Drosophila melanogaster: one gene and its partners. The protein of the gene in region 4 interacts with the protein of the main gene of each other region in a pairwise test. Each region holds a gene or a part of one and is shown on either strand. Other genes may lie near its edges.

The links.
Region 1: the proteins of CG3662 (region 4) and CG9837 interact in a two-hybrid assay, tested with the Drosophila melanogaster proteins (one large-scale study listed by BioGRID).
Region 2: the proteins of CG3662 (region 4) and CG10444 interact in a two-hybrid assay, tested with the Drosophila melanogaster proteins (one large-scale study listed by BioGRID).
Region 3: the proteins of CG3662 (region 4) and Sf3a1 interact in a two-hybrid assay, tested with the Drosophila melanogaster proteins (one large-scale study listed by BioGRID).

What each region holds. Positions count from the first base shown.
Region 1 is NT_033777.3:8,805,931-8,813,481, forward strand, and holds CG9837 (uncharacterized protein), read right to left. Parts: upstream 3,882-7,551; 5' UTR 3,853-3,881; coding exon 3,799-3,852; intron 3,738-3,798; coding exon 3,168-3,737; 3' UTR 1,749-3,167; downstream 1-1,748. Other genes in the region: CCT7 (chaperonin containing TCP1 subunit 7), read left to right, coding at 1-89; hng2 (hinge2), read left to right, coding at 436-649, 703-1,253.
Region 2 is NT_033778.4:20,268,000-20,276,046, forward strand, and holds CG10444 (uncharacterized protein), read right to left. Parts: upstream 6,501-8,047; 5' UTR 6,240-6,500; coding exon 5,258-6,239; intron 5,201-5,257; coding exon 4,419-5,200; 3' UTR 3,654-4,418; downstream 1-3,653. Other genes in the region: CG8908 (uncharacterized protein), read left to right, coding at 1-537, 595-823, 884-1,069, 1,121-2,023, 2,606-2,786; CG11788 (uncharacterized protein), read left to right, coding at 6,692-6,729, 6,789-7,928, 7,987-8,047.
Region 3 is NT_033777.3:16,997,673-17,005,958, forward strand, and holds Sf3a1 (splicing factor 3a subunit 1), read right to left. Parts: upstream 4,684-8,286; 5' UTR 4,588-4,683; coding exon 4,479-4,587; intron 4,357-4,478; coding exon 4,192-4,356; intron 4,135-4,191; coding exon 3,963-4,134; intron 3,902-3,962; coding exon 2,439-3,901; intron 2,383-2,438; coding exon 2,210-2,382; intron 2,149-2,209; coding exon 1,978-2,148; intron 1,921-1,977; coding exon 1,819-1,920; 3' UTR 1,712-1,818; downstream 1-1,711. Other genes in the region: CG3534 (uncharacterized protein), read left to right, coding at 1-620, 679-900, 1,115-1,304, 1,364-1,600; Irc (Immune-regulated catalase), read left to right, coding at 5,404-5,479, 6,532-6,628, 6,796-7,129, 7,194-7,380, 7,498-7,679, 7,752-8,286.
Region 4 is NT_033779.5:819,542-824,837, reverse strand, and holds CG3662 (uncharacterized protein), read right to left. Parts: upstream 3,550-5,296; 5' UTR 3,287-3,549; coding exon 3,179-3,286; exon of another isoform or gene 1,981-3,178; coding exon 1,269-1,980; intron 1,202-1,268; coding exon 1,062-1,201; 3' UTR 701-1,061; exon of another isoform or gene 648-700; 3' UTR 501-647; downstream 1-500. Other genes in the region: CG3862 (uncharacterized protein), read left to right, coding at 1-405; Clp (clipper), read right to left, coding at 3,869-4,759.

The DNA of each region.
Region 1 (7,551 bases), on a different chromosome or scaffold from region 4:
ATGAGACAATAAAGAGTCCCAAGGCCGGAGAACCCCCGATGGCCGGCGGTGGCATGGGAATGGGCCGCGGAATGGGCAGGCCCATGTAAATAGAATCATTCAGAAATCCAGAGAACACTACACCCTAATCATCAAAACTCACTTGCATTTCTCTCCTAATTTAACACGTACACGTATTACTCGGTCATACCTTCGCATTTCGCACGCTTCGAAGCAAGAACAACAGCAACAATAATCCACTGACCTATCTGTATATGTTTAATAATAAAACACAAAATTGAAATTTGTATTTTCATAACATCAGAACGTTTTTAGTTTAAATGCGGGGCGAGGTGGCAACTCTGCGGGGAGTGCTGTTAAGCAGCTGCCCGTGGTGCTGTTAAACGCAAGCAACATATTGTCAATCCAATCCAACCCTTAAATAAACAATAAATAATGGGCAATCATAAAGTTCTTCGATCGGCAGGAAGCAATTTGCGCTATTCGATGTACGAGTTCATTGACGCGGTACACAAACGTTCTATTATATGGGAACGAAGCCACCCAAACTTCCATAACCGCGAACTCAGAGATGAGGCCTGGCAGCAAATTGGCCACGAGCTTTGCTCGAATTTTGACGACTCCAGCGAGCCGGAGAAGCAGGAAATAGGTAGGTGGTGGCTACCTTTTTGAGTCTATATCATACATAACTTCCAATTCCAGTTAAAACACTGCTCAAACGTTGGAAAAACACGAGGGACAGCTACCTACGGGTCAACCGACTACGTCAAAGTGGCGAGGAGGTGGCCAGAGCTTCCTACATCTACGAAAAGGAACTGAGTTTCCTGCTGAACGTGAAAGCAGAGTCGGAGGACGATGTAGAATCCTTGAAGGAGCAACCCAAGCCCCAGGCCAAACGGAAGCGAGTGAGCACTGCCGCACAGAGATCTGCAAAGACTCCACGAAAGAGAAACTCCGACCAAGAATCGAATATTGAGCCTGCCATCCGCAATCCAGCCATACCAAGCAACATAAATACGGTTCTGGGAGATCTGGGCTGCGCCAAGGAGGACACCGCCACTCCGGAAATCGCATATATTCCACAGTTACCATCAGATCCACCCTGCAGTACAAATACCGCCTACTTGTCCGCCGATCCTGATCAGGCCTTCTTCGACACCATTAAGCCTCACATGCAGCAGATGTGCGCCGATCGCAAGCTTGACTTTCAGATCGAGGTCCTGAAAATCCTACGAAACTTCAAGCCGAATTGAATATTCACTACAGAAGTCAAATCATTTACAAATGCATTTACAAGAAGGGCAAAATTCGTTTAACAGCAAGTTAACATAAGCAATAAGAATACATTTAATCGTTATCGTAAATCGTCTAATCTTTAGGGCGCGAAATTTAAATAATGAACTGTAATTTGTAATTTAATATACAAACAATAATATTCACAAACCAGGGGTTAAACTTTAATGCAACCAATGATTCAATTATTTTTTTTAGTTCTTAATAATGCGTCAAATAGTTTTCTCATAGTAACTTCTGTGTTTTGCGCAATGTATATATTATACGCTTACTTTTGTAATTTTTGATAATAATACAATAGTTGTAGAGTTATTTAAGACAATGAAAAAAACATTAAAAACAACATTAAATAATGTATAAAAAATATGCATTTTATTTTGTTTTAAACCATAAATTATCTAACGACGGCAATATATTTTTATACGTGGGTTTCAATATCAATTTCATACAACATGGATTTGTATGGAATTTCATATGAATATATATGCTCATATGTATATTAACTATGTATGCAAGCAAATTGTCCACATGTGTAATTGATATTTTTACATAAATCCCATGTTCTGTTATTCATCCCCCTAGCCACTACTTTCTTGGGCCGGATGCTGTCTCAATACATATTTATCGCCTGCAGCGAAATTTTAGTATAAACATAAACTGTCAAAACGATACATAAGCCATCGGATGGCCCATGTTCCAAAGCCGTTTGACCAGTTTCGGCTGATGTTGATACAAAAAAGAGTTGAAACCTGTATTCATACAGCTTGTACCTCTTATGCCAATCGAGTTTTCATTATGTATACCGATTTCTTCATGGTTTTTGTTCAACACAAAGGCACATTTATGGATTGTACGAGCGTATTTATAAGTCGACACTCCAGACGACACCCCTAAAAAGAAATCGCTGAAAACCGTTAAGGAACCCATAGGGGTAACACAGAGATTTGGATGCGGTGTCGGCTTTCAAGCGTTCCACACTGCTGGGAATTCCCTGAGTACCATCTATGGGGGGTACGACGATATCGTTACCCCGAATACCCGCCCCCACAATTCACCCGACAAATGGTACTCGTAACGTCCTGATGATGCCGTTCTCCTCGGGATCGCCCCATTCCATTTCCCACTTAACTGCATATGGTTTTTGTTAGTGGTTGTTTCGGGTTTCGGAAATTTCTGCCCGCGTTCGGGACCCTACCCTCCACTTCATCTATTAGCAACGGCTCTGGCAGCTGTTCTACCCTATTAAAAGGTCCCTTAGTTCCTCGATTCCGACTACCTGCATCTGCTGAATGGAAATGCACTGAAAACTTTATCGTATTTTCTTTTTTAAGTATTTTATTACTGTTATTTTGATTAGATTAAATGAATTGCTATGCAAGAAATGTAGATTCTACTGATAGGAAATCTACATCAATATCAATAAATCAATACTTCACGAAAATGATTGCAGGTGCAGTTTTTTAGGGAAAAATAAAACAAATAAAAATCAAGCAGAATTTTTGTTTAGGGTAAAATACTTATTTATCATGATTGCTTACTCTTCTAGGTCTAACTTAAATTTTTTGCAGTGTACAAAGGCATTCCCAGCGTGTGTAACGTACTTTCCAGCCTTAACGAAACCGGGCACCGAAGGGAATTTAGGGTATTCTACCCCTGGAATACCTCCCCTCGCATACCTGTAGCAATTCTGGGCATTGCAGTGAAATCGAATAATAGACAGGAAGTCCCTTCGATGTCTTTTATTCCTTTCAAGAGCCGAGCCGCTCTAGTAGATCATGGTGCAGCGATTGTGTCGACCCATGATGCTGGTCTTTGTTCTGTTTTATCCTAAAACTAAGTTCCTAATGTGGTGGTCCTAGGCATCTGAGCCCGACTCAGGTGGAGTTATCCAGAACAACCACCTGTGTGTTTTGGTATCTTCGCCAGGCACTCTCCGCCCTTTCCAAGTATTCACCGATCTCCTGTCGCTTGTTCAGAAGGTCGTACTTCTCTAGAGCCAACTTCAGGAGTACGTACTCCAGGCTTCGAATGCCTCCGAGATTGTTTGGATCCCTTAGGTTATCGACTAGGATTACGAATTTCTTGAGCAGCTCCACCAGCTGCCCAAAGTTGCTCAAATCGTCCAGATTAGCATCCACCTCGTTGACGTATCGCATACTCTGCTTAATCCTTCTGGCCAAATCGGTGCTCCTGCCAACCAGGGGTGAGAGCTCCGTATTCAGCTGTTGCACCGATCTGCGCGTATCGGTCACCTTCAGCAATGCGTCCTGATTATACTGATCCTGATCTGTCCACTGGGTCATCGGAGCCTTAGTAGTCGCTCCTTCGTTGTCCACCATAGATATCCGATCGTTCTCCACAATAATGGTCTTGTCGATGGTGTCGGATGCATTCGGCGGCTGCTGTACGTGAAAGTCCAAGGTGAAGTGAAACCGCATGCTACCCTATAAGGATTAGAAATTTTGTTAAGAAACATCCAGCAGGCTTGCACAATCGGAAACATGCCTGGACCAAAGTAAATGCTGCTAGGAAAACCAAAATAGTCTTAGAGGACCACATCTTGTCGGTGAACTGGGAAATGTTTGACTGATTCCAAGCTGAAATCTCACGATCAGACCACTTCATGCAATCCAAGCTCGACATCGACGCTTATCAAACCACGGGGTTATCACACATCGTTCCCACTTGACCGATAACAGATTCATTCACATTCAATGAGTTTTCTAGCTATGGGAATACATATTGCCAGACAAAGCGCAAGTCACGTGTTCGCCGAGATGAAAAGTCAATACAGTGAGGTGAGCGATTGCCAACCTAAAACCATTTCAAGGCGCTTGGAATAGCAAGTATTTCAATTTGCTGAAAGCTTCGTATCCAATATGACCTCTATGGAAACTAGTAAGTTCTTTGAACCTGCCGAGGGTATACAGAATTCAGAATTATCTTAAACTGACTAAACGAATGCCATATCATATGTGGTCTATTAATATTAATTAGTGGTAGTTGTATTGTAATAAAACAATGAGTATGCAGATTGTATGCATTATTGAGGGTGATCCAAAAAGCAGTTAATATTAATTGCCTGATATGGATATAGTTCCCATTTGGTATAAAAATTTAAACAATTTAAGAAAAAATGTGTGCTATATAAATATAATCTTAATACATGTGACATAAAAGATGGACTGGTTAATAGCCCGCATGGGTATTTGGAGTCCGTGAATCATCCACCTTTTTTGGGAACCCATTTCACAGAGTCATTTCCGTTACGAACTCAACCGAATTTCCGACTCTCTAAGGGTTAACATCTGCTTGACTACACTACGCTTATCATCCGTCTGAGGTAACAACAACCGCTCTTATCGCTATATATGATGTTTACGCGTGCAATAATAATTATAATGTACACAGAGCCACTATAGCGATAAGGTGCGAATGCTATCAGGGTCCGCAAGTACCCCACATATATGTACATATGTATATGTACACAGTCGAATGTTTGTTTGTGCGAAAGTATGCCTTAATTTAGAAAATGGTATCAAAGCAGGGCAGTTCATGGAAGCGAAGCCATGGCGATAGGGGCAGGCCAAAGAAAAGCATAAAATGTGGGAATACGAATGGGAATCAATAGTAGAAATTGCGCAGCAGAATAAAATTATTCCACTGCCTGAAAATAACAAAAACCGAAAGGAAAAAAAATAAAATAACCGTTGACACACACTCACATGAGATTGCCCATAATATATTCACAATTTATACACATAAAAAACTGTTGATATTTTTATGAGCACGAAAGAACCAAGAGTTCAAGTGGAGTTTCCTAGCTGGTAATTTTCTTAAAAAGTTTTGATAAGAAAAAAAACATAGTGTTCCAGCGAAACATCAATAACAGCAATAAATGAAACTCGAAAAGATCAAATCTTTATAGCCCATAAATACATTAAAATACACTACCAGAATTCACTTGAAGTGAATATTTTTCTCTTGTGTGTTTAACTTATTTTTATATTTATATTTTTTTAATATTTTTCTTCGCCATTTGCGTACTTTGCACGCATACGTACATACATACATATGGTTGTACAAAAATACAGGGGAGTGAGGAATGGGGACTGTGACCAGGGGGACGTAGGAGATGGGTGGCCAAGGGGTCGTCAGAGACCAACGCACAAAACTTGTAAATACGAACGCCTCCCATCTCGCTCCACCAGTATCTCCATCCCGCTCGGCACACAGCGCGTGTGGCGGCACAACGTGAACATTCGGATGTGTGTGTATCTTACAGATACCAATTGCGTAGATACAGATACATCTACGGGCCCAGTCCGAGACCAGTGCACGCAACTTTTTGTTTAGCCACATCTCGCTTTGGATACCCCGCAGTTAGGGTATATTGGACGAAAGCGTTATCTTATATATTTAGAACGCTTTGCTAATAAGCATAACAATTTATTTTACATTCAGAAATTTATAGGTTATAAACAATGTACATCGAAGTGATGTCTAAATGCCAATCAAGGGGTATGAACGATTCCATTTAGTCACGTTTCCCCATGATTTATACATATATCTGTTTTTTCTTTAGCTCTGGGCTTTTGTTTTTATGTTTGCAATCGCGAATTCAAACGGTCGTGTGGGGGGAGGGGCGAAGTATATACCCCTTCACCGACAACCTCGCTGAAATCCACTATCGCCGTCGCCATTTATAGATTGCAATTAGCTTAAGCAAAGCGCCATTAAAATAAAAGAGAAGCAACCAAAAGCAAAATAAAAACAAAATTGTTTACGCTTTTGATTTGCCTTAAGTTTGTGTGCAGACATACAGGCATCCAGGGCAACAAATATGGGTAGCACACATATGTAGATACATATCTAGTGGAGTTTGAAAACAACAATGCACGAGCACCTACCGGATACCCATAAATATTAAAGTTTCATCTAAATATTTTACATTTTTATTCCAGTATACATATATATACTGAGTATATATACTCATATACTACTATATATATACTCTGCGTGCTTTTCGTCACTACGTAAACACCGTCCTCAGTTATACATACATATGTTCATGTATATGTATTTCTCGGGGGTGGCCTGAAAATCGTTGAGAGCATTACACAAAAATTAAAGACTACGGGTCTCAGCATTAAATGAATTCGTCGAGGGAAAAACGCTTTCGATGCTCAAATATGGACAACCCGTACAGTTATTGTCTTGTATTCATTCGACTCGATCGGATATGGTACATATAAAGTACAAACATAATGGTAAGTACATATATACATGCATATGTATGAACGTATTTACTTCAGGGGTAGCGAAGCGGTAAACAACGACACCGAATTCAAAACCGAAGCCCATTGCCCACATAGTGTGTTGCCTGTGAATCCAGTTTTCTTTTGCGACATCGTTTATAAAGAAATCCCAAAGCGGCGAGGTAAAAAACAGAAACATCAAATGCAGAGTAACAATTGGGGTGATGATTCATTTCATCCGAAACTCAAATCGTTTTCGAGACTTATCAAAGCACGTTAAAATTGATCTAAATGGGTATACAAATTTCACACATATATTTTTGTTTAGAAAACTGCATTTAAAACGTGTAAAGTTGCAGCATATTTGTTTCTCTGTGTGGAGCGCGGTAGGTGCGAGATAAGGTGATTCGAAGCACGTTCACCACTCGCACGGCGTCTGTTTTTTCTTCGAGCAACCTCTAGAGAAATCCACCTAGATAATACTAGTTTGTACCGCCAGTGAGTCACATTCGCGTTTTGCCAACTTACCTGTGAACTAAACTGATCCAACAGCTCTCTCTCTCCACCGTCCTCCTTCTGGGATCGCCACTTTTCGGGGGTTCCATCGAAGTCGCGGACTTTTACCTCCTAAATCGAAATATCCAATAAGCCATCCATACCCATATTCACTTCAACTTTGTTCAATTTTGCAATCAGCCAAGCTCCATTTTTTAAACATCTGTTTCAACAAAGAACTCATAGGAAATCATTATCATATGTAAATGGGTTTTTAAACATCTAACCAAATGGAAATTCCCTTCCTATCGCTGTTGACACTCGAAACTCGAGAAGTTGCCTTGACTCAATTTTTTCGAATCGAAAAAGTTAACTCATAAATATTTTGGCTTTGTAAGCAATTTTCAGTTTGAAAAAGTTAAAAAGGAGCGTATTTAATGGATTATAAGCTTATTTCTGATCCAAGAACTAAAAACTTTAAGCTAGTAAAAATAGGATCTGGGCT
Region 2 (8,047 bases), on a different chromosome or scaffold from region 4:
CCTTCGACAGCAACGCCAACTCGATCATCGCCTGGTCAAACAACAAGCTCAAGCACGGCTCTGCACTCTCAATGGGCCTGGTGTACGCGGCCATTGGGCAGGAGCTGGCAAAACTTGATATTCGGATTGTGAACAAACCGTATCAGGATACGGTACAGCAGGCAGTTAGGGGACTGATCTACGCCAGCACCATAGAATTTGCCGTGCTGGTGTTCCATTACCTAGTCCTGGGCACTGCCATCTTTGCAGTTTTGCCGATCGTCGAGCGCCGGTCCAAAGTGCAGCACCAGCAATTCAGCAGCGGGATGAGCCGCAGCACCTACTGGCTGTCGCACCTGTCCTGGGACTATTGCTTTTACATCGCAATGATCTTGCCTCTGATCGTGGTCGCCGGAATCACAATAGGTTCCGTGTTGCCCGTAATAGTTCAGTTGCTTGCCTTCGGGTTCTCCGCCATTTCATTCACCTATCTGTTGTGCCTGATGTCCAATGATTTCGGCAAGATGTTCAGCATTATATTGTACATCAATATGATAGGTAATTATGGCTTCATTGTATTTCTTTTTGGATACTGCAAGGAAACTTTATTTCCAGGTGTTTTGGCCCTCTTCATTCACCCAAAGAGTCCGCAAACTCGGTACGCTGTTATTGAGTCCGTGCTTTTGGTCCATCCACATTATTCATTGTGTTGCGGAATGTATGAGGCGATACGTATGAGTACCTTCAGCTTGAAGCAGCTACCTTACCTGATCTTCAGCGGAGCGGCGTATCTTACCATTGTGGTGTTCGCATGGGTTCCGCGCCGACTAAACTATGTCTTCAAGTTATGTTTAGATCAATTGTGCTCTAGCTTTATGCTAACCGATTACCAATTGTTGTTTAGGTCAATTCGCAACGAAAAGATATACCCAAGCTACAAGGATGAGGATAAGGAAGTGGACAAAATGCGGCGGAGATTGGCCTACCTGACCACAGCGCATTACGCCTTCTTTCCTCTGATCCTAAAGAACCTATCGAAGCGGTATGGCAGCTTTGTGGCAGTGCGGTCCCTAACATTGGATCTCAATCCGTGAGTATCACTTTAGTATGAAGGTAAAAAAGTCACAACATCTTTTACCAGTTTCGAGTGCGTTGGCTTGCTGGGAAGGAATGGGTCTGGCAAGTCCAGCATCTTCCGCATGATCGTGGGCATGGAGTCGATCACGGTGGGCAGCATTCACATCAAGGGCTACAGCCTGAAGACGCGTCCCAAGGACGCCTCGCGACACGTGGGATTCTGTCCGCGGGAACTGATGCTCTTGTCGTTCATGACTGGCAAGGATGCGCTGCGCTTCTGTTGCTTGATCAACGGCATTCGAAGGGAATATATCAAGAGCTTGGTGGCATCATTGGCCGAGTGCTTTGAACTCGTACCGCACATGAATAAGCGCATCAGCACATACAGCAATGGAACGAAGCGGAAGCTAATGATTGCCATGGGCACCCTGGCGCCCTCGCTTATGTGCCTAGATGAGCCCACCGCCGGCGTGGACATGCATGCCAAGTACGAGATATGGAGTATTTTGGACGGCATCCGCCAGGGTGGACGCAGCATTCTGCTGACTACGCACAACTTGGAGGAGTGTGAGTTTCTGTGCACCAATGTGGGCATCATGGATCACGGCTCGCTGCTCTGCTACGGATCTTTATCGCGTTTAAAGCACCGCTTCAACATGGGCATTTTCGTTAAGGTGAAGATGGGTACCAGAGCAGAAATGGACGATGAGCGGGACAATTGGATGCAGATCACTATGATGCCTCCAAACGATAGTGAAATGGGAAGCACGGTGGGCGCTCGCCGTATGATGTTGGCGCACTTGCTGAGACATCACAATCCACCAGTGGAACCAGTCAAGAAGTCGAGGACCAGTCGCGCCCAGCCGGACACCACAAATTCGGAATTGAACATGCGCAAGGACTACGAGGCGTTGCTGCAGGAATTGGAGGAGGTCTTCAAAAAGGACCATCCATACAGCACTGTCAGGTATGTACATAAAAATATTTACTAAAGTGTTATATCAGAATATTGATATGTGCTAACCAAGCTTTTTGCTTAGATTATTTTTGGCATATGTTTCGTATGAGTAATTTTCTATGCATATTTTGACATCATTACATATCGTCTTAAAGCAAAGTTTTCTGAAAAAATTAATCAAACTAAAACAGTATCCATATTAATTGATAAAGTAGGATTTTCTATTTTCGTTTTATTTGGGTCACGATCATTGCTAATTGACGATATTGACCACTTGCAACAGCAGATTGAAATTTTCAATACACTAGTGCACGCACACAGATATCTACATAAACATTTGCTGCTCACTTTGGATGTGAATATGGTTTATTTACAAATAATATACTCATATATAAATAGTCTGGGCAAATCGCGCATACTGGCACAGAAATGAAAATAATCTTGTTTACGTTGTGTATAAGAAAGTCATGATTGATTAAAGGAAAGTTATTATGACCTTACATCTCAATCGAGCATAATAGTTATTGTAATTTATTTAAAGAGCTAAGAGTTGTATATATTTAATTAATTATAATTAATTGTTCCCCCCAGCGAGAAGTACTCCTACCGTGGCATGATCACCTTCTGCATTCCCAGAGGGCAGATTAAGTGGTCCGCGATCTTCGAGTACATGGAGAACTTGAAGGATGAGATGCAGATATTGTACTACTCGGTCAGCCATACAACTTTCCAGGATGTGTTCATGAAGTTTGTGAGGAAGCAGAATCAATAGAACCATAAATCTTCCCCAATGAATCACTTCAATGAATGCTATCCAAACGAAACCCTTATCGTATCAGCGAAACTATCTGTGAAAGCTTTGCTTCCGAATGCTAACAAATCGCCCAAATCATCTGTTGGCGTTGCAAAAATGAAGGCTAAACAATCATCAGTCGCCAAATTGATACTCTTATATGTAAATCTGTATGGTTATTATATTTTATGACGTTGCTAATGAATACAAATAAATGCCTTAAGATTCTTGTTGGTTAACATAAATATTGTTAAAAATAGTAAATCGCACACTAAGTTAGAGTAAACAAAAATCGGTTATGGCGTAACTATGTTATCCACCGCTTTTGGTCTCCTCTTTCGCCAGAACATTAGCCAAAAATGTGTGTCATGCGAGTCTATTCGTACTTTGAACTCCCAATCCGTTCTGAAAACTTTCCATGAGCAAGACGAGCGTGGTCTGGGTTTATTAATGATGTTTCGACAAATCTATCAATTGGCATTTGTTTACAGGCGAACCCATATTCACATGCTGACCCATGGCTTCTCCAATTTTAAGCAATTTGCTGTCTCCGACCCGCAATTAGACTTTGTTCCCGCATGGCGCAATAGTCAATTGGCAAAGGTAAACGCTTGAAAGTTATGGCATTCGTTCCGAAATAGATTCCTCATCGAGTGAGCAATGTTGGGAGAGCCTCGCATAACCTTGGTAGCTGATAGCGTACGAATTTGCTTATCGCAGGAAGTATTCGACAAATCGTGATTTCTGAAAAACACCCATGAGCCAACCGAAGTAATTATTTCAATCCAAGCTGCAGCTGGGGATTGCAAGTATCATGTTTCCGCAGCAAATAAAAAAAAAGGCAATCACATTTTGTAGAACAGATTTCTTTAATGATCAGCAGTTTGGCTTTTACAAATACACATAACTTTCACTGCTCCGAGTTATTGTTCAATGGTTGATTGCGACACGACACGAGTATATAATTAGTCTATAGTATATTTGTGTACATATAGTAGAGGTATATAAGTAAACAGAATTCACACTGTGGCGCAATGTAATGCTTTAAGAGCCATGTAGTAACTATTTATAGGCGGTGCTCACTGTAGTGTATTATTGTAATGTTATTATGTTATCTATGTATGCAAATATCGAGTAACTAAGAGGTATGAATATAAATATCCCATTAAAATTAGATGTACTACTAAATCAATAATTTATGTGGGGCATTGTGGCTGCCAATGCTCAACATGGGAAAGTAGTCGGCCAACTCGCTTTTAGGCTCCAAATTGATTATTGTCCCTCTGTAAAAGTTCATTGAGGTAGACTCCTACTTTTGATACGTTCTTGTAAAAAACATTTGACTATTCTTAAGAGGCCTCTTAATGATGCGCTTGTGAACATTTGCAACACGACTAATAACTACTAATTATCGTTGTTTACGTGTATATGGAAGACTCTGTTTTGGTCGCTCTGTATGCCAGTTTCGTTCACACAGGTATACAAAAAGGTCACATAGTTATGCACTTTTAGGTACGACATCCGTAACACGACTAACCAAATAGCCGACGCCTTCTGGAAATTCTTTTATATGTATGTATATATTCTACACTAAATCTAAGCCGGGCGGAACTACTGCTCAGTTAGTTTGGTGAGCGTTTCGTCCTGGGCAGTTTGGTCTTGTTCTTCTTTATGGCGTCGCCAGCGGCGGGACAGCATGGGTGCGAAGAGATCGTAGTCCAGCTGCTTCCGAGACTTGTCCAAATAGATTTCCGCGTTTTCTGCCTTTCCACAGTGAGCCAGCACAATGCTGCTGAAATAGCCGACGACCACGGCAATAAGAAAGCCGATGACGCTCAGCCACAAGTAAGAAATTCGATATAACCAGAAGTAGTCGGGTTCGATGACCACTCCGCTGCTCTTTGAGCTGAGCTCGATGGCACGCGCCATTACCGCGGTGGCATTCTCACAGCCCGCTGTGCTAAACTCCAAGGTAACTGGCTTTGGTTTGGGTCCGCCGAATCCCATCCAGAAGGAAACTATCAGGGAAACGAGGAAGCCAAGCAGCACGCCTCTTTGGTTGCTGCGTGTAGTGCAGACTCCCAGTGTGAAAATGGCCAGCAGCGGACCGCCTACCACACCGAAAATGGTAAGCGATGCCTGAAGAACTCCGCCCATGGAGCCAGCGACAAAAGCTAGACCGATGCAAAGCAGGCCAAAAATGCACGCCACAATCTTGGTGGGCATCGTGGACTTGGAGTCAATTAGCGTCCGTTTAAATATCGCCTTGTACAAGGGCTTCAGGTAATCCTCCAGTGTTACAGCCGACAGCGAGGTAACTGCCGACGAAATCGTGGAAAGACTGGCGGAGAATATTCCGGACACGAACAGACCACACAGTCCAGGATATTGACCTGCCGGAAAAAGAAATCAAATAATGCTAATTCTTATTGGATGTCTTTCCAACTCACCCATAGTCTCCAGTGCGAAAAGGGGCATGATCTGATCCCGCTTGTCGATGCGTCCCTTTAGCAAAGGGTCACAATCTCGATAATAGTAGAATATGGACAGTCCACTGAAAATGGTGCTAAAACTAAGCATTCCTAGGATGGGCAGGTTCCACCAAAGCGCCGACTGAGCGCTCTTCAAATTGCGGACACTCAGGAGTCGCTGTACTTGCGTTTGATTAACGCCATACAAGGAGAGGTAAGTGACCATGCCGCCAATGATCAGAGACCACCAAGTATGCCTCACGGTGGGATCCAATGAAAACTCAATGAAGTTCACGCGTCCTCGCTCCACAGCCACATCCCAGATGGCCGCGAATCCGCCGGCTTTAATGGCCGACACGGCAATCACGGCGTAGATGGCGGCAAACATGAGGAAGGACTGAAACACATCCGTGATGAGCACCGCCTTCAGGCCGCCAAGTGTCGAATAGAAGGTGCACACCAGTCCAATGACCACGATGGCCATTGACCGATGAATGCCGGTTACAGCTTCTAAAGCGAGCGCTGGTGCATAGAGTGCAATGCCCATGTAAAGCACCATTTGCACGGTGAAGGCCAGGGAGGCGGACAGCCGGGTGGCCTGGCCAAAGCGCCGCTCCAGATACTCGTACACACTGGTCGTCCGCATCCTGTAGAAAACAGGAAGGAAGAAGTACGCGGCAATGGGCGTACTCAGCACGTAGGCAATGTTGATCACACAGAAGATGGTACCAAATTCGTAGGACTCGTTGGAGACGCCCATCAGTGAGATGGCGGACATGAAGCTTGCCATCAGGCTGAAGGAGACCGGAAAAGTGGTCATGCTCTGGTCCGCCATCAGATACTCCTGTGTGGTCTTTTGCTTGCCGCCTGTATACCGGTAGTAGATGCCAATCAGAGCCGATATGACCAGGATGGTGATCAGCACGGCCGCATCCCAGGCGTCAAACGTTCCCACGGGCATGTTGTTGTTGACTGGATTCCGCTTGTCAGAGAACTGGAAGTTCGACGTCCGTCACTGGTCCGAATTGATTTTTCCACAAGCGTCACCACCAGCGGCGATTGGACGCTTCTCTTGCCCAGCAATGACCTTTGGCGCAGTCAACGCTTTCTAAAGTGCGCGTCCAAGTGCACGGCGAACGGCGGAAAACAAGACGCGTGCTCGCGAAATCTCCGCTCAAAAAAGAAACGTTCTTGCCGAGGCTACGACCGTTAAATAACTGATCAGCTGAGCGGTGAGTGTGCCCTTGCAGGGTGTGCGGATTAATGCTGTAATGTTTTCCAAGCACATTAAGCTTACATATTGAAAGGCCATTGAATACCCTCAACGAAAGCAACATTGCTGTGCTTTGGTCCCACTACTTTTTCCCGCTCATTGTTTTGGTTAATTTTTTGTTTTGTTTACATGCAGCGAACATGGAATCCATGGAGGTTGATGAGTCTGCTGCCCAGCTGTGAGTGCCTTTGGTATGCCTGCGTAGGAGTTATAATGTTACCCAACCACCCGCCATAGCTACGTTCGCACGCCGGAGGATGTGAAGGCCATTGTGAAGCATGCGAAACTGGACGAGCGCCAGTTGACCCAACTCACCCAGGCTCTGTACTTTCCCTCGGCGGACGTGGATTCGGACAATCTGCGCCTTCTGGAGCTCGATGGGCACATGCTTGGACAAATCCGCGACGGCCAGACGCTATATTTCAAGGGTGGCCAGAACGAGAAGCTGGTGCTGTGCACCGATGAGCGAACGTACGACGTGAAGGGCGCGGAAATATCCAATAGCCTTTTGCTGGTACCGGACCTCAAGTTTGCCGCCGCCACCAGCACCTCGCCGCTGAAGAGTCCGCGCACTGGCAACGCCAACGCCTCCCTGGAGCGCAGCCTCAATGACAGCACGGAGGATGAACTGGAAGTGCCGCGAACTCTGGAGCAGCGGCCGGTGCTCAAGGTGTTCCACGAGTACTTCGAGTGCCGCGAGATAAAGCCGCGCTTTCGCAAGCTGGGTGAACTACTGCAGCTGACTCGATATTCGGGGCCGGAGAACGAGTTCTGCGTGGAGCAGAAGCTACTCTTTACCTTTTCGCAGCTCCTGGACACGGTGCAGTGCAGCCGCGGTCAGTTCATGGAGGGATTGAACCAATATCGAGCCATAGAACTGGACGGGCGAATGCGCGTGATGGAGTACGAATACGAGTATCGCATTATTAACATGATGCTGGGTTTGATAAGCGAAAACTCCTGGGCCTTGGACGAAGTGGAACGGGAGGAGACCATCAATGCACTGAAGGGCATAGCTCCAGAGGATGTTGTGGCTGGGCTGTTTGATATCTATACCATTCCCAGTGAACGTTGCCCGGGCAAGTTTGAGTACCAGGAGTCCTTGGTCTCCCGCATTGTGGCACAGAACATTCTTCAGCCGGGTTTGCGCTTTCGCAACGAGGAGTTCATGCGCACCTGGCAGGAGGTACTGCCCGAGGGCATGTCCTGCGACTTAAAGTACCTACGAGGTCTGGGCATTTGCGACAAGGAGGGAGCGCAGCCTTGCATACGCTCCCTGGCAGAGGAGTTACTGCCCACCAATATAAGCGATCGCATGCGGGCGCTATTTAAGACTAAAAAGAGATGGACGATGGAGGAAATGGAACCGTACATAGAGTAAGTAATGATGAACACATATCTAGATTGTTTTTTTGATTTTCGGTTTTATAACTAGGTGCTTTACCACCCCAAACTTGTCCGTTTCCACACTATTGGCCAAGCACGCTCGCTCATTG
Region 3 (8,286 bases), on a different chromosome or scaffold from region 4:
TTTGTGGTAAATCGTACTCCGATTTGGATGGACGCCACCACCACCAAACAGTGCCTAGAGATGGAGATGGCTGTTGGTGGCAAACTTAACATGGTGGAACTGACGGGCTCGAAGTGCTACGAACGTTTTACGGGTCCCCAAATTAGAAAGATATATCAGCAACGCTGCCACGCCTACGAAGAGGCCAACCGAATCTCATTGGTCAGCAGTTTTATATCATCGCTATTTCTGGGCTCCGTCGCTCCAATTGACTTCAGTGATGGTTCCGGCATGAATCTGCTGGACATCCGCAAGAAGAACTGGTCCAAAGAATGCCTAAATGTTTGTGCACCCGATTTGGACAAGCGCCTGGACATTCCGGTCAGTCCAAATTCGATTTTAGGCAACGTCTCTCCGTACTTTGTGGAGCGCTTTAGTTTTTCGCCCGATTGCAAAGTGGCTGCTAGCACGGGGGACAATCCTTCGGCGCTGTCTGGAATGTTGGTGGGCAGCAGCTGGCTTACCATTTCCATGGGCACAAGTGACACCCTAATGATGAGCTTGAAGGAGCCGCTAAACTGGGAGGAGGGTCATATACTCTGCCATCCAACTGAAACGGAAGAATTCATGGGCCTTCTATGGTAAATTATTCCTGGGACATTATATCTTAAAATTAGTTTATTTAAATGTCTTTTTCAGTTTTAGAAATGCTTCATTGGTCCGTGAGGAAATGAACAAGAAGACAACCGGCGGCGATTGGGATAAATTCAATGAGTATCTCGACTCCACGCCCCGTGGAAACTTTGGGAACATGGCCGTGCACTTTAACGACATGGAAATCATTCCCAAGGCGCAGGGTATTCTGCGATGGAACAGGGAAATGGATCCCAGTTCCCCGGACGCGGCTAGGGGTGTAATCAAGTAAGTCTGATTGAAAATTTAGCTGTTTTAGGTCCGACATGAAAGCAATGACTCATAATCAGTTAACAGACATCTGTAAATAGTTATTTTTAGAAATGACTTTTTACCAACATGATCATGTTTTTTGTCGTTTATACTTTTTCTTAATGCCTATTTCCCTTCTACTGAATTCTTTAAAATGTATAAAATATTCCTGACCTCTTTCGCTTTATAGATTCAGCTCGCCCCAAATCGAAATTCGAGCCCTAGTTGAAGGTCAGATGCTGCATCACCGGGCTGTGGCTGAAGACCTTGGCTACAAATTCGGACCCGAGACACAAATCCTTGTCACAGGAGGCGCATCTGTTAACAAATCAATCCTGCAAACAATTGCCGATGTGTTCAATGCTCCCGTCCATATCCAGGTTAGTTCATACCAACTGTTTCTCAAGTGCAAGCAATTTAAGCAACATGTTTCTTGCAGGATGAAGGATTTGAGGCTGCCCTACTGGGAGCCGCTTATCGATCCGCCTACGCTCTGTACCTTCAAGAGGCAGGTGATGGGGTGACGCCTCTCTGTTACCGAGATTATATCCTAAGTCTGACAAGTAACAAACTGAGCCTTGTATGCGAACCACACAAGGACAGCGAGGAAATCTACGCTCCAATGCTACAACGATATCGCGAAATGGCGCGCGTCCTGTCCAATCCTAACACATAAACTCTCCGAAAGCCCAACGTAACATTCCAGTTTATACTCCGTACATTCACAAACTGATTCCTTCTTAAACGTCTCCTGTAATTGACAGAACTTAAGTGCAATTAACAAATTCTGTGATTGACGATTTATTACAAATTTATGCGAAACCATATACAAATAAATTTTTATATATGGCCCACTCCTTATTGTGTCTGGTATGCCTTTAATCTTTGATCCGCCTACTTTTTGCGTCCACCACGCTCCTTGACCTGTAAATGCACCGTGGTTCCGTTTACCAGATTGTAAAAAGCCATGGTATTGCTGTCTTTGAAGAACATTCCCTGAAGGATAGATGTTATTGAAATAATAGTTTTCGAAACATTAGTTGTATTTCTTACCTCATAAAATATCTTCTGCTTGGCCGGTGGCATGCCAGTTTCGTCCTGCAGCTTCGTCTTCAGATTGGCAATGGGTTCAGAAAGTGCCATGGTCACGGCTATCATCTGTCCATTAAGCTTCCACTCTGATTTGTCGGAATTGGGTACCAAAACCTGAATGGTCACAGGGCTCTGAAATAATTTAAGATGGGTTATATACCAATAGATAGCCAGATATCAAAATCAAACTTACCTTGTGGGTGGCAATAAAGTCTGCTTCTGGAATCAGGTTGTCCTCGCTTCGAATCTTTTTAGAAGGCGGCTCCTCCTCCATTATATCAACAGGTGGAGCAGGTGCAATTTGCTGAGGGATTCCACCAGGCTGCATGTTCATGTAGCCTCCACCACCAGCTCCAAAAGGCGGCTCTGCAAAATAAAAACGCTAAGCCCTCGACGAGATTTGCATACTATTTGTTACTTACGCATCATGGTTGGACGCAGTTGCATCAGCTGCATCACCGGTTGAGGCTGCTGCGGCGGGTGATGGTGGTGCGACTGGTGAGGTGGCGCCTGCTGATGCGGTGGATGGTGATGATGAGGATTATGATGCCCGTGGTGACCACCTCCGCCACCTTGGTGGTGTTGACTCTGGCTGGAGTGACTGTGCTGCGACTTGGTTGACGGCTGCGGCGGAGCTGAAAGCGTCGCCTTGTTGCCCACCGGTTTGGGGCCGATTTTCTCCTTCTCCTCGTCGGGCAGCAGTCCCTTAACCTTGTGGATTTGATGAATTTGTTCCTCCAGAGTGATATTTGCACGTGCTGCTCTCGTGGCCGCCTCCACGCTGGACGTGTGTCCGTCCCAGGTGACGCGATCGTCCTTCTTCGTCTCCTCTTCGCCGAGCTTCTTACCAATGACGGTCTCCTCGTCGCCCACACCAAAGATATCCGTACGACGCTCAGCCAGTTGCTTGAGACTCGCCTCGATGGCAGTGCCCGCGGCGAACACATTGTCTTGATTGATTTTCTCCACAGTATGCTTGTCTCGCTGTTCCACCCAGCGTGGATCCAATAGACCGATGCGCATGTGCTCCGAGACCTTGGAAGCCGGTATTTTCTCTCCTGTAATCGGCGAGATGAGATACTCATCCGTAGGCATTGGCGCCTGCTTCGGTTGCGTTGCCTTAGGATCGTATTTCTTGACCACCACTTTGTCGTGGGTGGGCGGCAGCATTGGCGCAACAGATGGCTGCAACTTAGTGGTTGGAGTGTCCTCATCACTAGAGGCTTCGTCCATGTCTTGCACCTGGGTGTTGTCTCTCTTGGGGCCAGTCGGCTGGCCATACGACGATACGTTCTTCATTTGTATACCCACACGGTTCTCCATTTGCGAGAGTTTCAGACCGCTGTCCAATAGGTTGTTAGCCTGGGAGTCGCCCTCGTCGTCCGACTCGATCTGCATTTCTGTATCGCCCTCTTCGTCCATTAGACGCTCTTCCATTAGCACACGGGCTCCTACCTCGTCGGGATTCGTGGGTGGCGGGAAGTTGCCCGATTCGAATGGCTGATAGTCCACCGTCTCCACCACCACAAAGTCATGCCAATCGATTTGGGCATAGGCCACGCGCTCCCTTTCGATCTTCTCCTCCTCACGGCGGCGTTGTGCTTCTTGGTGACGCTGCCAGTTGGCCCGATATTTAACCTGCTCCAGCACCTGGTTCATGCTGCTCCTGCCCGGTGCGCTCTCGGAACGCAGTTTGCCCAGCAAATCCTTTGGAGGTATCAAGACCTTGGTATACTGCTCCAGCAACTTGGTAAAGTACTGGAAGAGCGAGTGCTGGGGTCGCAGGAAGTCAAACTGAAAGTTACGCTGCTCCCGGCTCATAAGATTGGTCAGAAACTGTCGGCCGTTACGGGCCACAAATTGAGCAGTTAGCTTCACAATGTCCCTGAAAAGATATGCAAGACAATAAGACAGCGATTGGAACTTCCTGGCGAGTGGACACTTACAAATCCAGCGCCGAAATGGAGGGCGGATCGGCTATGAACTCGAATTCAGGTGGAGGTTCCTTTGGTACGAACTGCTGCTCCACCACTTGCTTGAGAAGCTCTTGCTGGCGCTGTTGGGCGGCACTGGTCACCGCCAGCTGCTTCATGCTGGCAAGGGCAGTGATACCGGCATCTGAAACGGTCTCATGTATTAAGAGGAAGTATTAATGGGAAGTGAACGAAAACATACCATTGCCCTCGCGGAACTCGTTGACCTTGTGTCTGTAGTATGCGTGGTAGGGATCTCCGCCATTTAAGAAGTTAAACTTTGGATTGCCCAGCTCATTTTGGCGGATGCGCGCCTCGAATTCCGGTCCATTGCGAGCCACAAAACTGGCGGTCTTGTCAACGATATCTAATAGTTAAAGCTTTGATAACTGAGTATGGGAAACGCTAAATGTGTATTAAATGAATGTATTTTGAGTAAAAAATGGCTAAATTGAGAAAAAAGTTTGTTTTCTTTTTGGCAAAGGATGCTTCTAACTTCCGGCGGCGGATAGATAATCCCAATGATTGGACCCGACATCGACTTGGGCTGATCATTGCCGAACTGCTCCTCGTTGGCTTCCGCGTCTAAAGTTGCCATGGCTGGTGAAATCGTCCTCTTTTATTGATAAAATCTGATTGCTTTTTGAGAAATGAGAAAACGCTTGTTTAGCCGAAAATTAGAGGTGGAAGGAATAGGGATGGAACAATCGTTGGACTGTTGCCACCGCCATCGATAGTTTTCTTACATTCATGTAGTAATGTTAGGGTGACTCAATAAACGAACTAGTTTCAAGCCGGAACTAGTGAACCACTGGCTCAGCCTATCGATTAATTTGGCGCTGGATTTAAACAATCTGTCGGACAAACCATCAACTCAGGCGTTAATAATGGCTTATAAAATCTTTACATATATATCAGTAGATGGACGGACAAAGGCGTGGGCAGAACTGAACCCCACGGATGAGGTCTTTATTTGCATATTATGTTAGTGTTGGTACGGCTTTGTACGGGTGGCTTGATTCACCAAGCCAAAACAAAAATAACATTTGTTTACGTTTGTACGACTTTATTCATTCGCTGAGAGAGTCTGCTGCCAGCACGATAGCCAGATGATGATGATGATGATTATCCAGATGATGAGGTTCCCTTGTGCGTGATAACGACCCGACTCATTCTCATTCTCATCGACTCGATTCTGTCGAGATTTGCCCCCAAGCTCAGTAGTCTACGAATCGCTGAGCCGTCGACACGGTTTAATTGGACTGAAAGCGCGGATTAGGTCCGATAGAGTCGCAGTTCGGATCACTTCCTTATCACAAGCTAGCGACGTGACTTAAATCCCATTGACGTGCGGGTATTTTGTGAATCACAACCGGTGGCTGAAAAATCCGAGTTCTAGAACAAAGACACTGCAATGGGTGGAATTCAGTACATCTGCCTGCTGGCTTTCATAATAGGAGCATCATTATTGACAACAATCGATGCTAATTGTGAGTCCGCTAGCAGTATTTAAATTAAACTCTGTGTTTATAGAGACATTTTGGTGTCAAGTATCTCATTCTCGTGCTAATTTCTTTTAAGAGAGCACAGTCTTCTTCGTGTAGAAAAGTAGACCAAATAGAGGGAAACCTATTAATTTTATAGCTTGTTATTCGGTTTATTATGATAATAAAAACTTTATTGAAGTATATAAATATTTAATTGATAAAGCAGAAAGACATTCGTAAAGCGGAGGCTGGTCGTCTCACAGCGATAAATTTCCACAATCACTACGCACTATTTAGCCTGTAATTAAGTACAAGTATTAAAAATATATACAGAAATGGGAAACTGTTTTATTGATCAATGTAAAATGTACTTTCCACTTTCTGCGAGTGCTCAAGCGTTATATCATCATGAATGACTGCATTGGTTTTTACCAGGTTTTCACATTTGTTTATTGTAATAAACATTACTAAATTGTTACATTCAAAAAACCCCATTTGCATATACTTGTTGATAAAGATTCCAATAAATTCCAAAAGCTCACCCCAAGGTTCGCATATATGAGGGCTTATCGCTGAATAAGAATTCCCAATCAACAATTGTTTACTGATCGGATCCAAATAGATTTCTATAAGCGTGAGAAATAATTGATGTTTATTTTTCGAGTAAGATGCAGAGATATTTCACTTGAATTAGCATACTGTATTCAGGTAAATATCTCTTTAATAGGGTATTCACACTTTCAATAACAATACGACTGCATAGAAACCATTCACAAAAGGCCATTTTTTATGATTGTATCGTTACCTTTGATATAGTACTTTTAAATTGTCTTGATTAATGTGTTGACAAGACAATTTGTGGAATATTCCAGAACAATTCAATTATACCGTAGATATAAATCATGTTTTCTTTAAATGAGTCAATTTACTTAAAACGGCGCCTAGAAATTGAGATTCCCAAGAGAAATGATGATAATGAAAATTATAAATTAAACTACCCATCTGAATAAACTTAAATTTAACCAATTCATTTGTATCATTTTATGAATCTTCAGCGAGCCGAGATGTTAATGCCGAATTAAACAGGATTCCTGCTTCGAAATGGTTGCAATATGTAGAAACGGCGTTGGACTCAGTAAATAGGCAAAAGCGGTTTGTACAACTGATTACTTTGAAAACCAGTTAACTTTAATGACTTACGCTGATATGTTTAGGATGTGACACTTTTCTGCTGAACTTGGTGCGCGACTTATATTTCCGTATTCGGGCTTAAATTTAAACATTATATTTTACATAATATTACTTAACCATTTTTTCAGACTGGAGGACAATCTATTAGGTTCCGATATCACTGTTAAGAACGGCAGCCTTTCACACGCTCAACTTCTGGATACTTTACCAAGCCTAGCTTCGAAGAAGGACAATAAGCTCGCCCTGAAGATCCTTAAGTCCAGCTTGCTCGTTTTCAACAGCGAATGCCTGCCTAATAATATCGATGGAGACAAGTGCCGCAGTTACCTGGAGCAAAAACCACTTCCGGAGGGCAGTAGCTTGCGAACTGAGTGTGAGAACTCACTCAAGGGAAATCGAGAGGGTCACTATGCTTTCAGAAGGCTACTTGGGAGCAGCCACTACAGGAACGGTTTCTATCAGGTGCGATCCGCTCAGAAAAACAGGATGTAGAAGATGAATTAAATGGTTTATATGGTATTTTTAGATGTTTCCCAATTCCGGAAGACGCGAAACAGTGCCGGCTGCGTGGTCCATTAGTAAGGAGCTGTATGAGCCCGATCACATTCAGATCTCCAAACAACAAACCTTCGAAAGCAATTCCAATTTGGCCCTCCCTCAGTGGGCTCAATTTGTGGAGCATGATCTTAGCAAGCCGGTGTCGCAATCAATGAGTGAGTTTCATATGATGACCTCTTCCTTTTGTACTTAACATACTTAAAACCAAAGTATATCAATTTATATATTTATATTGTTAAAATTGTTTCAATTAACGATTTCTCCGTTCCCAGGCAATGGAGCCCCAATAGAGTGCTGCAGCCGTGACCAGATCAACCTTCAGCCGCGTCACCACCACCCGGCATGTGCTCCGATTCTGTACCAGCCCGGTGGGAAATACGACGTGCCCAGCTGCCTTAACTATGTGCGAAGTGCTCTGGCCGTGGCTGATTGCAATTTCGGTGGCGCCGAACAAGTAAGAAGAATTCAATTGTGAAAAACCATGTAAAAATATCACTGATTGCTTACTTCTATTATATGTATGTAGCTCAACCAGGCCACGGGGTCCTTGGATCTATCGCAACTCTATGGTTTCACCGCAGCGGCGGAGAGAAAGTTGCGTGTTCTCGAGGGCGGTTTGTTAAGGTCAACTCCTCGTGGAGAATTCGACAACGCCCTCCTGCCCATCGCCACCGATACGGAAGGACCATCGTTCTGCGCCAGGGCAACAATTGGTGATGGCACCTGCTTTGCTGCCGGAGATTCGCGGGTGAATAGCAGTCCGTTCTCCATACTGATCTACACGATCTTCATGCGCAATCACAACAAAGTGGCTGCCGAGCTGAAGCAAAGGAATCCCCGGTGGAGCGATGAAAAGCTCTTCCAAGCTGCCAAGGCAGTCAATGTGGATATATATCGTCGAGTGGTCATTGAGGAGTGGCTGCCAGAGGTGCTCGGCCAGAAGATGTCCAGTGAGATTAGGAGAAAACAGCCTAATCGTGCTTTGGAGGTCTCCAATGAGTTTGCGGTGGCTGCCATTCGATTTTACTTCTCTATGCTGCCCAATGAGCTCCTAAATCTGA
Region 4 (5,296 bases):
CTAACGAAGTCCATCGGGAAAATCAAGGATGTGGCTGCGGGAGGCTCATTTTGCATGGCCCTCAACGACCAGGGTCTGGTGTACACCTGGGGCTTTGGCATCCTCGGCTTCGGACCCTTCGTGGAGCAAACATCCAAGCCGCAGCATCTGTTGCCGCCTTTATTCGGACGAAATGACTTCAGCAACGAAACCACAGTGGTTTCCATCGGATGCGGAGTGTTTCACATGGGCGCCGTCAACTCGGACGGAGATCTCTTCATGTGGGGCAAGAACAGGTTCGGGCATCTGGGGCTGGGACACAAGAAGGACCAGTTCTTTCCCTTTAAGGCGGCCATCAACGGAAAGGTCACCAAAGTGGCCTACGGAGTGGATCACACCATTGCCTTGTGCAAGCCGTTCTTCTAGATTAAGCTGTTTGTTTTAGATTAGTTAACTTAAAGTATACTCTAGTCGAAAATACTATTGCCAGTGGCAGCCCAACCAATAAAGATCACACTGCTAAAGATCACAAATTCGCGTTTAATACATGTAAGTAGTTTAAAGAACATTTAGATTAATTTACTTGTTTCTCTTACGCATGCTGATAGTTGCCATGTTTTCCGCCCTCAGGTTGTTTTTGCTGTAAATAGCTTCGTTCTGAATCCGTTCTATACATTAATTGTTAGAATAGAGTTTAAGAGCATATATATAAAATATGTACTTGGAATGCCGCAGTGTGTCTGTGCGCGTGTACCGATCCAATCTCTCCGTATCCTTTCAATCCGCCCTCGAGGCTAATACATTTCACGTATTTGTCACAATTTCGTCGATCGCTTTTGATTGCGTTCTAGGTACATTTTCGTTACGCTTCCTTACTAGGGTCTATAATTTGCTAAACTCGCTTGGCCAATGATGATATATCCACCCGGAGTGGGTGTGTGTCCTGCTAACCAGTGGTAACCAGATCTAGACTTGTAGGCATGGCTCTGTGTATGTATAAATCGATTCTAAGTAATAATTTGTTTAGGTTGTGTTATCATATGGGTGTTGTAGCTTAAAAGATCCTCCTCCTCCTCCAAAGCTCAGGCCTGTTGCCTAGCCTCGTTGGCCTCGTAGGCCTCCACCTCGGCGATGTTGGCCAGGTCGTACTCGATGACGCCCTTGCCCATGAACTCGGCGTACTTGGCTGACTCCGGCAGCGGATCAGCCGATCTCTTCGAGACTGTAATGGGTCGAGGAATGGGAATGGATCAGTAAGTTGCTGGCACCTGTAAGACATTGCTACTCACCGCCTGAGACGAACTTCTCCATCATGTAGACCTTCATATCGAAGCACTCGTTGGCAATCCGCTCCGAGATGAGCGAGACATCGGTGATGCGGGGCATGACCACACGCATCTGGCGCCGCACGCGCTCCGTATCTATGTTGTAGTAGCCAGTGCTCATCTTCTTTATGAGATCCACAAAGCTGGTCGGGGGCAGGGTCGTGTCCCGATCCAAGGGCATGATGAAGCACCGTCCGGTGGTAGTGTCGATAATGGCCGACTGGTTCTCCTTGAAGTCGTGCATGAAGCGACCACGACGTCCATCCTTGAAGTCGGGCACGTCCACGCGTGCGTAGCCCTCGTCATCGCTGTCACCGTCCAGTTCGATGTCCTCGCGGAAGTGGCTCTCGTCCAGCGATCCACTGTTGGGCATCGGTTGCGCGAGCTCGGGTAGCAAGGAGCGCCAGTTCAGGGCGAACGGTTCCACGGTGCGCGGATATACCCGCGCCATCTCCATCGAGTCCTCCGGATAGGGGATCTCGCACAGGGCGTGGTAGCGCATGCTGCTATGCGACGGAGCGTACACTCGGTACAGGGTCCATCCGCCCAGGACACCCAGGAGCATCACGACTACGGCGATCAGGAACAGCAGAAAGGATTTGATGCAATGGTGCTGCGGCCGGTTGAAGACCATGGATTCCGCGTCGGCTTCATTATCGCTGTAAGCAACCTTGGGCTGTGTGTGGAAAATGGGGGGTTTTAAAAATATGGGATACTCCTCTAAGTGTCACTTGCAATTTTGTAGGAACAACAAATTGCAATGGAAAAGTAGCAGTTTTATATACAATCTAAAGTTATCTAAAATGACCGACTTGTTATATCTGTTTCCTTATCACCCATTGTTCCAGTGGAAAGTCATAAAAACGACGATAAGTCGTAGAAAAATACAAATAGAAGGCAGTTGACTGTAATGTTGATAGTGGAAGTTCCACAAGTCGAAAGGTTTGAGCTTGCTGAATATTAATCACACATTTATATTTTCCGCCAGCTCAGCAAGATAATTTTTCACTGCAATGCCTTCTCTTGTTCTATAAACAATGCAATTGCATTGCTAAGTCAAAATTGTTTCGAAAGATACGTCGTTAGCGAGAGATTAGTCTAAGGAGGGGTCAGAAGAGATCCCCTTGCAAAAAATTAATCAATTGAAGGCATTTGCATGCACTAGAGTGGACCTTATTCGACTATGTAGTGCATAACTCATATGTAAATGTATGATTGTATATAAATCTCTGGAAAATTAGTGATATCTACACTAAATAAATAAACTGCAGATGGGCAAATATGCTGGGAGATGGGAGATGGGAGCTGGCAGCTGGGAATGATTGTGCTTATGACCAGCAAGCTGATAAGACACGACTTTCTCTGGATACCCGTGCACACGAATCGAGGTCAAAGTGCACAGTGTCAGCAGCTCACAAAGGGCTGCAACTGGCACCGTAAGTGGCTTTCCCCAGCCGTCAGGGCCAATCTCCACCAGCAACAGGAAAACCCTTCGCGCTGACCTCGGGGAGCGAGCGAGCGAGTCCTTGGCGCGGAAAGCCCAGGAAAGTGAATGGGCACACGTCACTTGGAGTGGAGCAGGGGTTGCATGCGGGCAGGGGGGTAAGGGGAAGCACGGGCCACAAGGACACCAAGGAGTGCGGAGCTTGGTCGGGGAAAAATCGATGGCGAGCTGCTGCTGCTGAGGCTGTAATTCGGAATGGATTCCGAATCGGAATCAGCACCAACCACCCACCCATCACGAGACTTGTGGCTCTCGGGCCGCAGGACGAAGGACACGGTGGCGGGCAGGGCGCGAGGGATGGACAAGGACATAGCACGATTGCGCAAAAATAAGGACACATCCCGCAGATGCGATGCCAAGCAAAACTCACTGCGATTAGGGAGCCATGGTGCATGAGCGCCTCGTCGTTGAGGTTCATGGGCAGGGGCACCTTCTCCTGGTCCGTGGGCTGTCCCCGCAGTTTTCCCAGAATTGTCATGGCTGCTCGTATGCTGTGTTCTTGATGCCTCCGCACGACCAACTTGTTTGTTTTTACTGAAAATTTAGTGCGCAATTGTTGACGAGCTGAAATCTCGATCCAGACAAGCCAGTGTGACCAGTTCTAATTCGCCTTTCAAAAGATGTGGACAAAAGTGAGGCAACTCTAGAGTGGTTGCAAACTTGGAAAAGACGATTCGCCGCCCAAAAATTCGAAACTTGAATCCGAAAAAAAATTGTGAGGCACAAATTGTTATCTTACAAACGAAAAAACATGATACATTTATATTTTTGGAGAAAACCCAAAACATACAACTAAACTCCCTTCCAAAACGAATTGCTTACTTGTATCTTATGGAAGTTTATTTCGCTGATAACACAATACGTTCTACTGGCAGTTCTAGGGACTTTTTTCAAAAATGCAAATGAGTTTCTTAACATACACTTTAAACACAGAATGATTGAAACGTTCGCCTGCGGAAGTTGGGAACCTACGACCTCTGGACTACACAGCGGACTATGCAGACCGCTTTCGACCTTTATTTCTGCACTCTTACAGTCTAATCATACAGAGCAGAGCGTCCTACTTATGACTATGTTGGTTAGAGAGGAAGGCGAGGTGACCCTTGGGACACTTGTTCGCGTAGTGGCCCTTGTTCCCGCACTTGTAGCAGGTGATCTCCTCCAGGGGCGTGGGCACCTTGACGAAGCCGGGACCATGCGGCTGACTGTGGTGATTGGATTGCATGTCATCGGCACCCTCGATGTGGCCGGAGTGTCCAGAGTAGCCGCCCGAGTGTCCGCCGGAGTGATCCATTGCGTTGATATTGTTGCGATGCTCCAGGCTGCCCACATACTGCTTGCACGAGTTGGCCTTGTGGCCCAGCTCGCCGCAATAGTGGCACGTGGGCAGTTTCTTGTGCAGCTGATCCTTACCCAGTTCCGCCAGCGGGGGCAGCTCGAAGTGCGGATGCATGTGCTTGCAGGACGGGCCCTCGGGGCAGAAGCCGGCTAGGTAGTCCATGCACAGGACACGGCGCAGATGCTGGTGCCGGCAGTGGGGACCGTGGCGGCAGAAGCCTCTCTTGTACCACGGACAATCCTTCACCTTGCTCTGCGGGTCGATGTGCAAAAAGGGACACTCTTTGTTGTGGCAGGCGTTGAACCTCGAGTAGAAGTAGCACTCGGGCATCTTGGTCATGTCGTACTCGTGCAGGAACTCGCACTGGTCGCCCTTCTTGCACAGTCCTCTCAGCCAGTGCTTGCACACGATCGTCCGGTCCCCGCGAATGTGTCGGAAGGGACAGGCGCTCCCTTTGTCGCACTCCTGTCCGTTCCTGGTGATGAAGTTGCAGACCGCCGCAATGGACTTGTCCATGCCGTAGAACGGCAGCGGGATGGCACCCACCTGCTCGATGAGGTCCCGCTCCGCCTTGAACTGCAGCCCACTTACGTTGGCCAAAAGGATGTCCATCTCTGACGGATTCGCGGATGCTCGGATAGATGAGGAAAAACTCCGAAATCTGGTAAACAATGCAGTTTCCTTCTTCTTTTTTTGCGCGTGTTTGTTGTTTCAGTGCGAATAGTGCTGACACGCAACCGGCGTTATCGATATCGATAGTTCGCAAGGCAAGACAGTCATGGCCGTCTAGCTGTTTATTAGCCAAATCTGTCCACTTCAGGGAATAGATATTTGTATATAAATATTTTTAGTCTCCAAATGTTTTTAATTTATAAGATTAGTCATAGTAAGAAAATACTTGTTTTTATGACCTTATTTAACTAAACCGCCATTAATAACATTTTAGCTATTTAGCTACAAAAGTAAGTTGATATTGGTCAGCACTGTTGGCGACTAAAGTATTACATAGAAATTAAGTATCCGCCCCGTTAGTGTTGCTGATAAAAGGGCTTATCTACAATGAACGAGCCAGTTTCAAAAATTTCACTTACACAAGAGCAACACTTGAATTGCTTCGAAATTTAAACATTAAACACTGAGTAAATTCGA